Linked DNA regions of Rhinolophus ferrumequinum. The protein of the gene in region 1 binds, or shares a complex with, the protein of each later gene. Links are inferred from orthologs where the notes say so. Each region holds a gene or a part of one and is shown on either strand. Other genes may lie near its edges.

Evidence for each region. Proteins that work in one complex are often made in the same cells at the same time.
Region 2: MED8 (region 1) and mediator of RNA polymerase II transcription subunit 21-like share a complex: the UniProt entries of both Homo sapiens proteins name them as parts of the mediator complex. The link is inferred for Rhinolophus ferrumequinum from reciprocal best matches to the Homo sapiens genes MED8 and MED21.

What each region holds. Positions count from the first base shown.
Region 1 is NC_046292.1:30,617,385-30,624,991, reverse strand, and holds the start of MED8 (mediator of RNA polymerase II transcription subunit 8), read left to right. Parts: upstream 1-4,097; 5' UTR 4,098-4,192; coding exon 4,193-4,198; intron 4,199-5,554; coding exon 5,555-5,673; intron 5,674-6,351; coding exon 6,352-6,496; intron 6,497-6,790; coding exon 6,791-6,931; intron 6,932-7,123; coding exon 7,124-7,205; intron 7,206-7,565; coding exon 7,566-7,607. Other genes in the region: KICSTOR complex protein SZT2, read right to left, coding at 3,962-3,988. UniProt on the Homo sapiens protein: Component of the Mediator complex, a coactivator involved in the regulated transcription of nearly all RNA polymerase II-dependent genes.
Region 2 is NC_046286.1:94,042,713-94,049,221, reverse strand, and holds mediator of RNA polymerase II transcription subunit 21-like, read left to right. Parts: upstream 1-4,873; coding exon 4,874-5,332; 3' UTR 5,333-5,381; downstream 5,382-6,509. Other genes in the region: MTHFD1L (monofunctional C1-tetrahydrofolate synthase, mitochondrial), read right to left, coding at 4,527-4,666. UniProt on the Homo sapiens protein: Component of the Mediator complex, a coactivator involved in the regulated transcription of nearly all RNA polymerase II-dependent genes.

The DNA.
Region 1 (7,607 bases):
TCTAAAGATACAACGGAAAGCCAAAATTGGCATTCTCTGCTCTCACAAAATTTTCACCCATGGAGAAAAATATTAATCAAGTAATCACTCTCATTATTGTATTATTACAAACTGAGTACGCACATCAAAGGATAAGAATGTGGTTCTATGATAGTGTGGAACCAAGTAACATGATCTAGGCTAGAGTCTTAGGAGAAAGTAACGCTGACAGTTGCGCAGGGAGGGTGTGCTAAGTGAGGAGGAAAAGGGGGATAAACCAGCTGGATGCTATAGACGAGCACTGTGCTATTAGAAAACTTTCTTCAGGTTATTAGCTAGTAGGCTGCTTAATTATACAACTGTACATCTTCCATTTCTCCATCTTATCTCAAAGGTTATTTTGAATGATGGACTGGCTATCCAAGGCCACGCTGAAGTCTAGTTCATCAATCAGTTCTTATAGAATCTACTCTCTTGATACTAGGAACATTTGCCTAACTCGAGCTTGCTCACAACATTCCCCCTTATACCTGATGCTTCAACAACAACAACCACGTTTTCAAATCATCATCTCTAAGTTATCTTCACATTCAAGATGTAATTTATCAAAACCATTAGACTTCAGAATTAATTTAACCGGCTAGAATGGTATTTTTCAAAGTGTGCTCTAAGGACCAGCTGCATCAGAATTACCTGGGGTGCTTATTAAAATGCAGATTCCCGGGCACCACCCCAGACAAACTGAATTAGCGTTGAGAGGGCTCAGGACTCTGCATTTAACAAACTCCCCAAGTGATTCTGCCACTTTAATGTTTGAGAATCCCTGAATTAGTTGTATTCTCACAGCATCCACACTCATAGGGAGCTTCAAGTCCCTAATCTTTAATCCCCGAGTCTGAGCTACATGACTCTTGTAGTCTGGCAAAGAGAGAGCAAGGGTTTGGAGTTAAGAGAACTGGAATCAAATGTGGTTCTACTACTTGCTATCTAGGTGAGTTTGGACAAGTTACGTAAGTTTTCCAGGCCTCAGTTTCTTTATTGATAACATGCAGATGTCTACTTCAAAAGGATGTTATTGCAATTAAACAGGAGAGTCAGAACAATCATAGAGGAAGCCTATCATTCTTTGGGTCATTTACTGAGGCCTACATACATACCAGTTATAACAAGATGAATAAAACATCATCAGGTGCTGTGCTGCATACCATGTATTCCAGCCTCACGGAAACATCCCCATCTCATTTATTTGTTATTTTTTGAACCTGTCCCTTTGTGGTTAAGGTATAAATTATGTTTTGAGGCTTTTCCAACCCTTGTGCTGCTTTCTGTTAACAGAGACCCACGAAATAATGTAGATTTCTCCATCTTGAACTGTCTTAAGCCTCCTTACCACTATTCATATGCCAAAGTCTTGAAACTCTAGCACGGCCTCAACCTGAACCTTCTTCTCCAGCCTCTCTCACCCATTACCCCTGAAGTATAGTCCCTAGGAGCAAACACTGGTTCTGCTGCTTATTAGTGAAGTTACTTAAACTCTCTGTGCCTTAGTTTCCTCATCTGTGAAATAAAGATACTAACAGTATCCATTTCATGCGGATTTGAGGACTATTAGATGATTATTTGGTAAGCACTCTGTGTTAGCTATTCTCATTGCCACACTGCAACCATACTAGAAGCTGCTTCCTCTCAGTTCTCTAAAGGGTCTAAGCTCCTTCTCATCTCAGGATTTACACTACTCACTCTGCCTCTTCTCATAGCCAACTTCTACTCATTCTTCAGGCTTAAATGTCATTCCTCTCTAGCAGCTTCCTGATCCACCCTGCCTCCACCACTTCTTAATAAAGTAGGTTAAGAGCCCCTGTTAAACACTCATTCACTCTGTATTTTTCCTTTGCAGCACTTATCATAACTTGATGTTTGTTTACTCCCTTAAAATAGGGAAGGTGTCAGTCTTACACTGCTCCGCATCCTCCCTGATAATTAGCACAATTCTGAGTCCATAGTAGCACTCATAAATATTTTAAGTATTTGATGAATGAATGATTTCTTAAATCTGACTATGCCCAATCTTTCTCTCTTGAGATTGTAACAAACTCTAAAAGTCAGTCACTTTTCTGCCCAGGGGCAGAAGAACTCTTTACTCCCTTCACCTTGTGCCATAAAATTTTCAGAAATACAAATCAAAAAATTAAGAAATGCTTAGCTTTTACCTGAATGAGACCCCCAGGTGCATGTGTCTTGGCTCCAAGTTACTTTAGATCTGTAATGTTCAATGTATTCGGTATCCCCTACCACATGGGGCCACTGAGGACTGAAATGGTGCTTGTCTAAAATAAGATGTGCTGCAATATAAAATACCTACTGGATTTTAAAGACATGATACAAAACAAAGAATGTTAAATGTCTTATAATTTTAAAATATTTACTACATGTTGAAATTGTAATATTTTGGAAATACGGGGTTAAATGAATGCATTACTAAAATCTTCACCTATTTCTTTTTATCTTTTTGAATGTGGCTACTAGAAAATTTACATATATGGCACACATTCAACTTCTATTGGGTAGTGCTGTTTTAGACTATCTGCCTATAAGGCATGTTTTATTTCCCCGCAAAATACCTGTATTTCCCCCATTTGAATCCATAGCAAAACATAACTCCAAATGGTTTTTTTCAATACTGATATTTCTGATGCATGGGCTATTCTACCATCCCTGTTTTAAATAAGGCATAGTTTCTTACTTTATCTTGGGCCTCGTCATATCAAATCCCAATGAACTGGAGGTTTACTATCCCACACTTACTTTCTTATTTACATTACAAACATTATGGTTAAGAACACAAGGTCTGGAGCCAGGCCTCCCCGTTTTGGAGTCCTGGCTCTACTACTTACTAGCTGTATCTTTATTGCTCTGAATCTCTGTGTGCCTCAGTTTCCACACCTGAAAAATGGGGATGATAATCGTGCCTACTTCATAGGGTTGAGCACATTAGTTGGTATTGGTGAAGTGCTTAGAATGGTACTTGGTACGCTGTAAGCATTCAATAAGTAATAACTACTAGTTGTGTCATTATATACATCCCTCACCCTTCCCACCTATTCACATATTCTCTTGTAATACTGGACACCTCTCCTAGTGATGTTGTTCCTTCCAAATCTCAGGGATATTATGCTCAGAACTTCCAACTCCAAAACTCTGCTACTCCCCAGCTGAGTAGCACTTAGGTAAGGTACTTAACCTCTTTCACTTTTCAGTTTCCTTATCTGTAAATGAGAAATGCTACTGCCACCTTCCTTGCACAAGTACGAATAACACAATGTATATGAAATTCCTTGCGTGGTCCTTAGCACCTGATGGATAAGTCACATGCGTTTTCTGGTTTAACACATGCGATCCTCACAACGCACCGTAAGACAGGTATTTTATGAAGAAGGAAACAGGATCTGGGAAGTCAAGGCTTGCCCAAGTTGCACAGATAGCTAAATAGCAGCGCCAATATTGGAACGAGGTTTCACTCTGGGTCAAAAATTTTTCAGGAAACCAAAGCTGCTTTCCCACAGCATGAGCGCTAGAACTAAATTAATTCATGCTGTTTATGGGATTACAATGTTTGGAGAAATGCAGAAACCGGCCAAGTATATATTGCCCTGTTGCCCGCTGAAACTGCAACAGAAAAATCAAAATACAGTTTTTGTTAATATCATTATTATTAGGTCAAAGAACCCGACAGCCCTAGAGTCGGCGACGTGGATGAAGTTTCAGTAAACAAAACAAAGCGACGAGTTTTTCCTCAAACCCCCCGAAGAAACTGCGGACCACGAGGAGGTTCAATTGTCGGGCCTTAGAAGCTGGGCCGGTCCCCGGCCCAGACGACACGTCCAGGTCGCCCCCAGACCCGGAGGAGGCCACGGCAGCGCGCGGCCGCCGTACCCTCCCCCTCGGATCTCGGGAACCAGCGCTGCGCCCGCCCGCCCCTCACCTCCGGCTCCGGGCGCTCCGAGGCCATCACACAGCCCTCCCGCGCCGGCCCAGGCCAGAGAAGATGTTCCACTCGTGACCCCTGACCCGGCTACCTCGCACCCCGCAGTAGCCGGAAGTGAACGGGCGGGCCGCGTTCTGAGCTCTCTGATTGGTGGACGAAGCCCTGTCAGAGTGACTCGCGACTTGGAAACCGGTAGAGGAGGTCGTTGCGGCCGCTACTGCTGCCGCTATGCAGGTGAGAGCCCGGTCGGGACTATGGATCGCCAGCTAACTTCGAGTAACGGGGCCGAGAGTGAGCCAGCCGAAGAGAGATGCAGTTGGGGCTGAGAGGAAGGGGCAGAGCCCGCGGCTGATGGATGGGGAAAGTGGGGTGAGGGACGAGGCCTACTGGACAGGGAGAGGCGGAGCTGAGAGATGGGGTGGGAGCCCCGCTGACAGGAGACAGAGACTGCGGCTAAGTCGAGAGGGAGAAGGCAGCACTGACTTGCTGGGGGGTGGGGAAGGATCAGGTTGTAATTGGGGAAGGTTGAGATTCAACCCAAGGAAGATAGCTTAAGAAAGTGGCCGGTTGGCTCAGGACCCGGCCTAGGCTGTTGGACGCTGCTGGATGCAGACATAAGAGGGCATCTGTAATTGGAGAGAAGCCCGAGGGGTGACGGAAATGTGGTGCCGCGGGGGCCAAAAGCCAAGTTAATGAATCTGAGGCCGTGGGTAGAATCCAGGATCAAGGCTCCTGCCCTACACATTGGCTGGCGTGTTTGCAAGACGCTTTCCCAGCCTGTGCCTGTAGTCAAGGGTGAAGAAATGAAGTAAAACTGGAGACCATAGATGGAAAGGAATTGCTTTGCAGACACCCCAGCATTTACAATTGTTTAGTGCTTAGGACGTATGCATTTTTTTGTCTGTCATTTGTCATTTAGTTTCTCACGCCTGGTAGTTGGTCAGTAAGTGTTTATAGGTTGACTAAGTTGGTGAAAGGGGCACAAGAATACTGGCACAGAGGTAAAGTGAGTGCAGATTAATTTCGCAAGGAGGAGGTTGAAACATCAAATGCTGAGGGCAAATGAAGAGTGAGAGAGAGAGAGAGAGAGAGAGAGAGTGTGTGTGTGTGTGTGTGGTGCAAGGCCCTATTCTGAGAAACTTTCATGTGTAGGTAGATTTCCCAGAGATTGTGTGCCATTGACAAGAACAGCCAGGCTCACAAGGCAGGTTCTAGGACAGAGGAGTACATATGCTGCAGAGGTACACAAAAGATAATAAACCCAGGTATTAGGTCTGGTGAAAATTTCTCAACGAGAGACAATAGAGTGTACCTAATCCAGAGAAAAGACAGGCATGGATTAGGACGTGATGAGAGAAAGAATCAGTTGGTAGGAGGAATTGAGGTCAGGTGAATGGGTTGAAAGGTCTAAAGGTTGATGCTCTCTGTAACCCAAATACCAAAGATAGAAAACGACGTGGCTCTCGTATGCCAGTGAGATCTTATGTCACTTGACTAGTGTTGCACACTGTCACCCTGGCTTTCCAGCCTTCTTCTGTATGTGTCATATTTACACCCATTTGGATAACCAACGTGTTCCTATTGGTGCAGAGAGAGGAGAAGCAGCTTGAGGCATCATTAGATGCACTGCTGAGTCAAGTAGCCGATCTAAAGAACTCACTGGGGAGTTTCATTTACAAGCTGGAGAACGAGTATGACCGGCTGACCTGGTAAGGGTTGCCAGGGCAATCTGGGGAGGACTCCATGGGTGGCAGGGCAGGCCTCCTGGTGGATGGGATATCTCCAATGATGTAACCATTTATCAATTTGCAAACATCTTTTGATTTGGAAAGAGCTGGCTTTCCCAACATTTAACAAATGAAGTTTAGCTTAGGGCCTCCATGGCAAGGAAGTAGAGAAATGCCCAGTTTCCCAACCTAGGTTCTTCCTAGCTTTTGATTCTCGCCCTTTGACTTCTCTGGGAAGAGGTCCTCCCTTAGTGTGTCCTCCCACTGCAGTAGGCATACAGTGGTCATACTGGATCTTCTACCACAGATGTTGCTGAGTCTTTTAGGTACAACCTATTCTGGAAGTATGGATCCTATTTCCAGGCCAGAAAGGAGGCTTTTACTCAGTTTCTGAATTTTCAGTGGTAACAGTGTAGCCATGGTTCCTATTTTACCACTGTTCCTCACCCCATTCAAATAATGAGCTGCCTTTTTTCTCCATCTGTGTCAGAAACTGAAAGCGTGTCCCTCTTTCCTAACCCCACAATCCCTGTAAGCCAGTCTGGTTCCCACCCAGTCCAGCCATGGGCTGTCTTTTTGGGGTAAGTCCAAGTATTCCTAATCTGAAAGACCCCCTTCGAGGCTACTTGGAACATTCTGACATCTTCTTACCACCACCAGGCCCTCTGTCCTGGACAGCTTTGCCTTGCTGTCTGGACAGTTGAACACTCTGAACAAGGTCTTGAAGCATGAAAAGACACCACTGTTCCGTAACCAGGTCATCATTCCACTGGTGTTGTCCCCAGACCGTGATGAAGATCTCATGGTAAGAGGAGGAGAAGGGTGCAACTTGGGAAATTAAATTCTTTGATGACCTAGAGCACAATTGTTGGTTGGTTATTCTGGAAGTTCTGAATGTGGTGTAGTGTGTGGCAATAAAAAGCGTGTGGCAATAAAAAGTGTCGGCTGAATTTTGGTCTCCTAGGAAGCTAAATATTGTAAGTCTTAAGCTGTGTTTTCCCTGAAAATGCACTGTTTGCCTGTGGCAAGAACTATATATCAGGCCAAACTGAATCTTCTTGGAGTGCATAGAAGGATCAATAAAATCTGTGTTTTACAGCGGCAGACTGAAGGACGAGTGCCTGTTTTCAGCCATGAGGTGGTCCCCGACCATCTGAGAACCAAGCCTGACCCTGAGGTTGAAGAGCAAGAGAAGCAACTGACAACAGATGCTGCCCGCATTGGTGCTGATGCAGCTCAGGTTGGACTGAGTCACTGTCCTGCTGCCCCCATTCCCCAAGTCCCATCATGAGAAGCTAGGCATTACCATTGCTGTCTGGTAGGGATGTATAGTTGTTACACGTAAGTTGCCCCTAGAAGAGCACAAGGAAAAAACTTCCCCGCATAATTTCTTGCTTGCCCTAATCTCTGAACCAATTTATGTGTGTTACAGAAGCAGATCCAGAGCTTGAATAAAATGTGCTCAAACCTTCTAGAGAAAATCAGCAAAGAGGAACGAGAATCAGAGAGTGGAGGTACGGAGGGATCAGTGGCAAAGTGGAGAAGGAAAGAAGGATAAGATCAGTGTTATAGGAATAGTGGTTTTGGTAAGAAAGATGTAAGAATGAACTGCTCAGGAAAGGGTTACATCCATTCTGTTAGCCTTTTGTATTTAAGACCAGCCCTGGAGCAGGTGGAGGAAATGGGCAAAATGAAAATGGAGAATCCTGAGCTAGTCGTGAGGGTCCTCTGGCTCTTCCTCTGGGCTGCCAGGGAGCCTAGAGGCTGCTGACGTCAGACCTGCAAGCCCTGGTACTCAGACTAGTCTTCCTGCTGCTAGGTTCAGTCCAGGGCCAGAGGCATACCTCAGGGTCCTCACCTACCTTTTTCTTCAGGTCTCCGGCCGAACAAGCAGACCTTTAACCCTGCAGACACCA
Region 2 (6,509 bases), on another chromosome or scaffold:
TTGCATACATGCAAAACTAAGAAGCAAAGAGTATCAACTAAACCAAAAGTTGGTTCTTAAAAAGACTAACAAAATTGACAACATTCTGGAAAGATTTTTCTAAAAAAGGAATAAAACAATATTATAACCACATATGCTATAAGCAGAATTCATAGAATACTATGACCAACTTTACAGTCATACATTTAAAAACATAAATTCATAGGGGTGTAACTTTCAATAGGCTCATATAAGAAGTAGAAAACCTAAACAGTTCTATAATATATTCATTAAAAAATGAAATTTGTAGTTTAAAATCTACCCCATACCATTAAATAACAGGCTCAGACAGTGTTACAGGTCAATTCTTCTCATCTTTCAATAAATATATTATTCTAATGTTACAAAATCCCTTCTAGAGTATATAAAAAAGAAGGAATCCTTTGTAATTTATTTTATGTGGCTAACATTTCACTCTTAAATACAGATGCAAAGATCTTACTTAAAACATTAGGAAACCAATAAGTAAAATTCAGTCATTCATAAAAAAGATAATACATCCCCAAATTAGATTTATTAAAGGGATGTAAGGTTCATTTCATATTTGAAAGTTCAGTAATAACCTGCAGCATTACTAGATTAAAGAGAAAAGCAATAGCCTCTCAATAGATGAAGAAACTTATTCATCACCTATTTATTACAAAAACTTGGCAAACTAGGTTTAGAAGGCAATTTCCTTAACCTGATAAAAAAACATACTAAAAATCTATAGAAAACATCATACTTAGTAATGAACCGTTAAAAACATTTTCTTTCAAATCAGGATGCCCTCTATCACCATTCCTATTTACTACTACAGTGCATCCAAGAAGACCTGATAGGTGACAAGAAAAAAAATACGAAGATTGGAAAGAAAGAAACAGAACTGTTCTTATTTTCAGATATGATAGCCCACATAGAACTCTCCCAAGTATCTATAGCTAAATTAGTACAATTAATAAGAGAATTTTTAAGCCACGGGGATACACAGCAAGGTAAGTATGATTCATAATACTGTGCTGCAAACTTGAAAGTTGACCTTAAAAGCCCTCATTATAAGAAAGAAAAAAAAGTTTTGTAACTACGTATGGTGACAAATCTTAACTAGACTTATTGTGATCATATCAAATCTTGATGTTGTACACCTGAAAGTAATGTGTCAATTATACCTTAATTTAAAAAAAGAATTTAGAGAGGTCACTGTATATATAAAAGCAATATATAAGAATCCTGTTAGAATCATTGAAAAATATAAAGTACACAAGAACAAATCTCTAAAAGGATGTGGAAGTCTTTTATGGAATAAACGAAATCTTTATTAAAATACAGTTACAAAGACCTACATCAATGAAGAGATATCCCACGTTCTTAGATAGAAACCTGTCAACTCATCAAATTGATCGATTGATTTAATGCCATTTCAACAAAAATCCTAAGAAATTCCTTAAGGGACTTTATGAGCTAATTCTAAAATACACATGGAAGTGAAAAGGGCCAGGGATAGGCCAGGCAAGCATGAAACAGAGAACAACGTGGGAGGGCTTGCCCTACAGGCTATCGGTGTAGCACAGACACAATTATATGTAAATAGTGAGGAACAGAAGGGAGGTCTCAGAAAAAGACGTACACAGGAACGAAGAATTGATTTATGACAATGTAGGCTTGAAGATCAGAAAGAAGGAGGGACTATGTAAATAAACAGTGTTAGGCCAACTGGTTATTAATACAGGAACAATGAAATTTGATCTAGTCATTGCAATACAACAACCAAAAAGCAGTAATAATGGGAGTGATGGTTAATTATGTGTGTCAACTTGGGGCAGGGAGTGCCCAGATATTTGGTAGAACATTATTTTGGGTGTTTCCGTGAGGGTGTTTGTTGAGAATAACATTTACATTGGTGGATTCTGAGTAAGGCAGATTGCCACCCCATAATGTGGGTGGGCCGCGTGGAATCAGTTGAAATGTCTGACTAGAACACAGAGACTGTGCAGGAGAAAATTCTCTAGCAGACTGCCTCCAGACTGGGTCTGGAACTGGAATACTGATCGGCTCTCCTGAGTTTCCAGCCTGCTGGCCCTCTCTGTAGATTTTGGACTTGTCGCCTCCATAACTGCATGAGCCAATTCCTTGTACTAAATACTTTTATGTAACATCCTGTTAGTTCTGGAGATTCCTTGTTAATAAAATGGGTTTAAAGAATGAACTGAAAAATGAATACATGGATCCAAAAGTATAACAGATTATTAGTTCTTATATCTCACCAGGAGTGGTCTAGCACTTTGGAAGACAGGATTTGAATTTGAAACGATTGGGGCTAAAATGGGCAAGTTCAAGGGTCACAGGATTTTCCACTGTACAAATTATGGGAAGAAAAAAAACCCCACCAAGCTGAATAAACAAAAGTGCAGCCATGGCTATTTGTGCAATGATATTAAAAGGAAGTAGAAATTGTAATGGATCAAAAACATTACCACAGAGCTGATTCCAGTAAGGAGAAATGACACTGAGATGGATAATGTAGAATACAGGATTAAGAAGATGAAAGCTCATTTACTATTCAATTATGGAAAACATTTCCTGGATACAGACTACGCCAGGCACCAGGGGTACACAAATTAGTAAGACATAGTCCTTAATCTCAAGGGATTCACGGTTGAGGAGGGAGACATACACATAGACAATCGTGAAACAGTATGACGCAGAAGGCACTACTGGAGGCCAGGAGAGGGAGCCAAGCTTCTCCCAGCTTTCTGACCCCCCCTTTTATTATGCACCACCTTTATCTGTGCCCGTGAAGCTTGAGCCCTGTTACAATCATCACTGGCATGGAACCACAACTTTAAGTGGAAGATTAAGGCGAGCAGAAAATGCAAGTGCTGGAAAACAGAGCACATACATTAAGATGAACTGAAAGAGGATTATAAATCATGTAGGGAATTTTTACAGGATGGAGATCACAGTGTGGAAAAGCATTGGACTAGAAGCCAAGAGACCTTGATTTTACATCTGATTAGTCCTGCAAGTAAATGTGGGATACTAAGCAAGCCACTGAATCCTTTTTCACCTCAGTAATCTTCTTTCTATGCAGACTGAACCACGCTAGACGATCTCTAAACCCTTTCCAGTATTAAAGCACTTTGATTTTATAATTTTCAGGGTGCAAAATAGGGAGGGAGAATTTCAAATGCGTCTTATATGGGCAGAAACAGTGTTTTGAAAATGGGAAGTTGGTATATAGAGTCAAAGTTTAAAGTCAAGGAGTGATTGCAGCAACAGGTGGTGTTTTGAGCAAATTCAGAATTCTTTGGGATTTATTGCCTATAATGTATGTTAAGTCAACCTTCTATTTGAAATAATGATGAAGCTTGAGGCTAAAATGAAGTGCACAAGTGTCTGGTATTACACATGCATTCAGGACTCAGAAAAGGTTTAGCCTTCATTAGTAAGCAGCTTTGCACAGTGAACAGAGTAGGAGATTTGGATCTAGTCCTGGGCTTCAGATCGGGCTCTCTGCTGGCCTGGCGACATTACCCACATTCCTTAACCCCACCATACCTCAACTTCCTCGTCTGTAAAATGGTATGAAATAATGCCTGCTCCTCCTAGGACAAACAATCACTAAGATGATTAAACAGTGCATATTATGGGGTTTCAGGATGGCAAACCTCGGATTTGTTTTGCTCTTGTAACAATCATCAATTACGTGACTTCTGTGAACACAGTACACCAATTCAGAAATCAGATTTGGCAGTTTGTCTAACGTAGCAATAGTGTAAATGTTAAAGCCACTCCAAATTATATTATTTCAAAAACAATGAAGTGGTATAATATTTCATATTCTCCCTTTGAAGATACCTAAAAATGAAAAAATAAAATACTACACCTTTACCGCGGAAATGAAAAAAATTTCCTTTCAGGTATGTGTAATTTCTGTATATAACAATACAGGTTCATATCAAATGTCTTTAAAAAACGTTACAATAGAATTTATGTTTTCCAAGCAAAGCTCTCTGAGAAATAATCCAGTCCTATAACAGTTATAAAGTGAAATCATAATAAACAGAAACAGAAGGAACATAGTTCTAGAAGAAATCTGATGAGATGTAGCATCAGTGAACCAAAAAACCGTCTGTACAAACACTGAACAACCTCACCCACGAGAGGAATCATTCTGATCCGTATGCGCTCCATTCAGCAACCAGAGCTCTATCCTCCCATGACCGTGGGGCTAGAAAATGCTGACATCAGCCTCAGATAGGAATCTTAGGACTAAATAGTGTTTACATTATGCTCCTTTCCAAAATACTGCATACAAGTAACTTTGTGGGTGTTAATATTTACTGGAACTTACCTAAACTCTAAGTGCCCTATGATGGTAACTTGTAAAAAAGGAGACATTCTAGAAAACTAGAGTTATTAAGCAGGTTTCAAAATGTTTCAAACGCTCAATTCTGCTTTATCTTAACTTTCAAATTGGTTTCACTAGGAAGGAAGAAGGGACTTACGCTTGGCCCGCCCCCGTGCATCTTCAGAGCTCGCACTGTTGCCACCAGCACGACGACGTTGGGCACTAAACCAGAAGCTCGGCACTTGATGTTGAAGAATTTCTCCATACCAATATCAGCACCAAAGCCAGCTTCAGTCACTGTGGAGAATCAAGTTGGAAACTTGCTATTATCTTCTAAAAACAATAATAAGGCGTGGCAATCATTGGTATGGTTCAAATTCAAAGGACAGTTTACATTTCCCACCAAGTCCAGGCTACTACACAGCACGGCACCTTGTTCATATACAAAGGTAAACTAACCCCCAGTTTTAGAAAATGTTCTATGTCTTGACATTCCCTAAAAAGATGACTCTCTCTCATTTGCTTGCAGGGACATGGCGGCTTACACAGCTGCAGGACGCGGTGAACTCGCCTGCAGACCAGTTTTGTAATGCAATTGGAGTGTTGCCCCAGTGTGGTCCTCCTGCCTCTTTTAGTAATATTCAGACAACAATTAACAAAGATCAGCCAGCTAATCCCACAGAAGACTATGCCCAGCTTTTTGCAGCACTGATTGCACGAACAGCAAAAGACATCGATGTTTTGATAGATTCCTTGCCCAGTGAAGAATCTACAGCTGCTTTACAGGCTGCTAGCTTGTATAAGCTAGAAGAAGAAAATCACGAAGTGGCTACATGTCTGGAGGATGTTGTTTATCGAGGGGACATGCTTCTGGAAAAGATACAAAGTGCACTTGCTGATATTGCGCAGTCACAGCTGAAGACAAGACGCGGTACCCATAGCCAGTCTCTGCCAGACTCATAGTACCAGCGTATACCGCATGGCTGAGAAAAGAGCTATTTCAATGGCATTAAGAATTATACATCAGATTTAGATGTAAGCCTTACCAACAGTTACAGAAACATTAACCACTATAACACATTATCTTTCCAGCTATTTTTAACAGTCTTCTAGTTTCACTCTTGATAAATAAGCTTGTAAGATTGTGATTGAACCAGCTTTAAACCATCATTATACTATCATTTTTTATTATCCAAATGAAATTATTGAGGCAGCTCTTACATTAATGGTCATAATTAAACAAATTACCGTAAAATTCTATTGTGGGAGAAAAAAAAAAAGATGGCCCTCTGCTTCATACCACCATGCCTTAAGGATCCTTTGCCAAGGCCTAGATTTTCCTTTCGGTAGAGTAACTCAGAGCAAAACTTTTCTGAACACAGCTGGGATTTTCAACTTTTTAATCAGGTTCCAAATTGTATCAAAGAACACTGCCAGCATAATTACGACGGAAGAGCCTTTCGCAATGTAGATCATACATAGAATTGTTTCTTTAGTGCCACTGGTCATTTCTGTTGATTGACAACATTCAAGTTAGTTGAGTGGCTTAAGGAGGTTCGTTATTATATAAGATAGCATCTTCATTCCATAACCACAGGGACACTGTAGGGGTTCATAACGAGTCTCCCCAGAATGTGCTACCCTGGAATGAGAATTACTTGGAGCTGAAGACAACTGAGGCCTACAAGCTCAGGAAGAGCTTTTAACCTCCCTCGTAACGGCCTAAAAAAACTTAGATAAAGGGCCTGATTCAGGACGAGCATCATCACTTGAGATACCTACAAGGAATGTGGGCAGGGGGAATCCACAGGGCTCGGAGACCAACGTCCTCTCTGTCCCACTGTCTCTGCAAGGCCCAGCAAACATTTGTTTTCCCATCTCTATGGGAACTGCTTTCCTTCCCTCTGAAGTCCCAGATCCCACCCCTTCTCCTTAGGTCAGAAGCCCCAACTGCCTGACTGGCCTGTGAGTCCCATATTCTTAAGGAGCCCCGGTACATACGAAATTAAACTTGATTTTCTCCTATTAACCTGCCCCATGTCGATTTAATAGCCAGAAGAATTTAGAAGGGTAGAGGAGAAATTTTTCCTCCCTGACAACACTCATCTTTACTCATCCCCTCCTCGCCCCCAAATTGTGC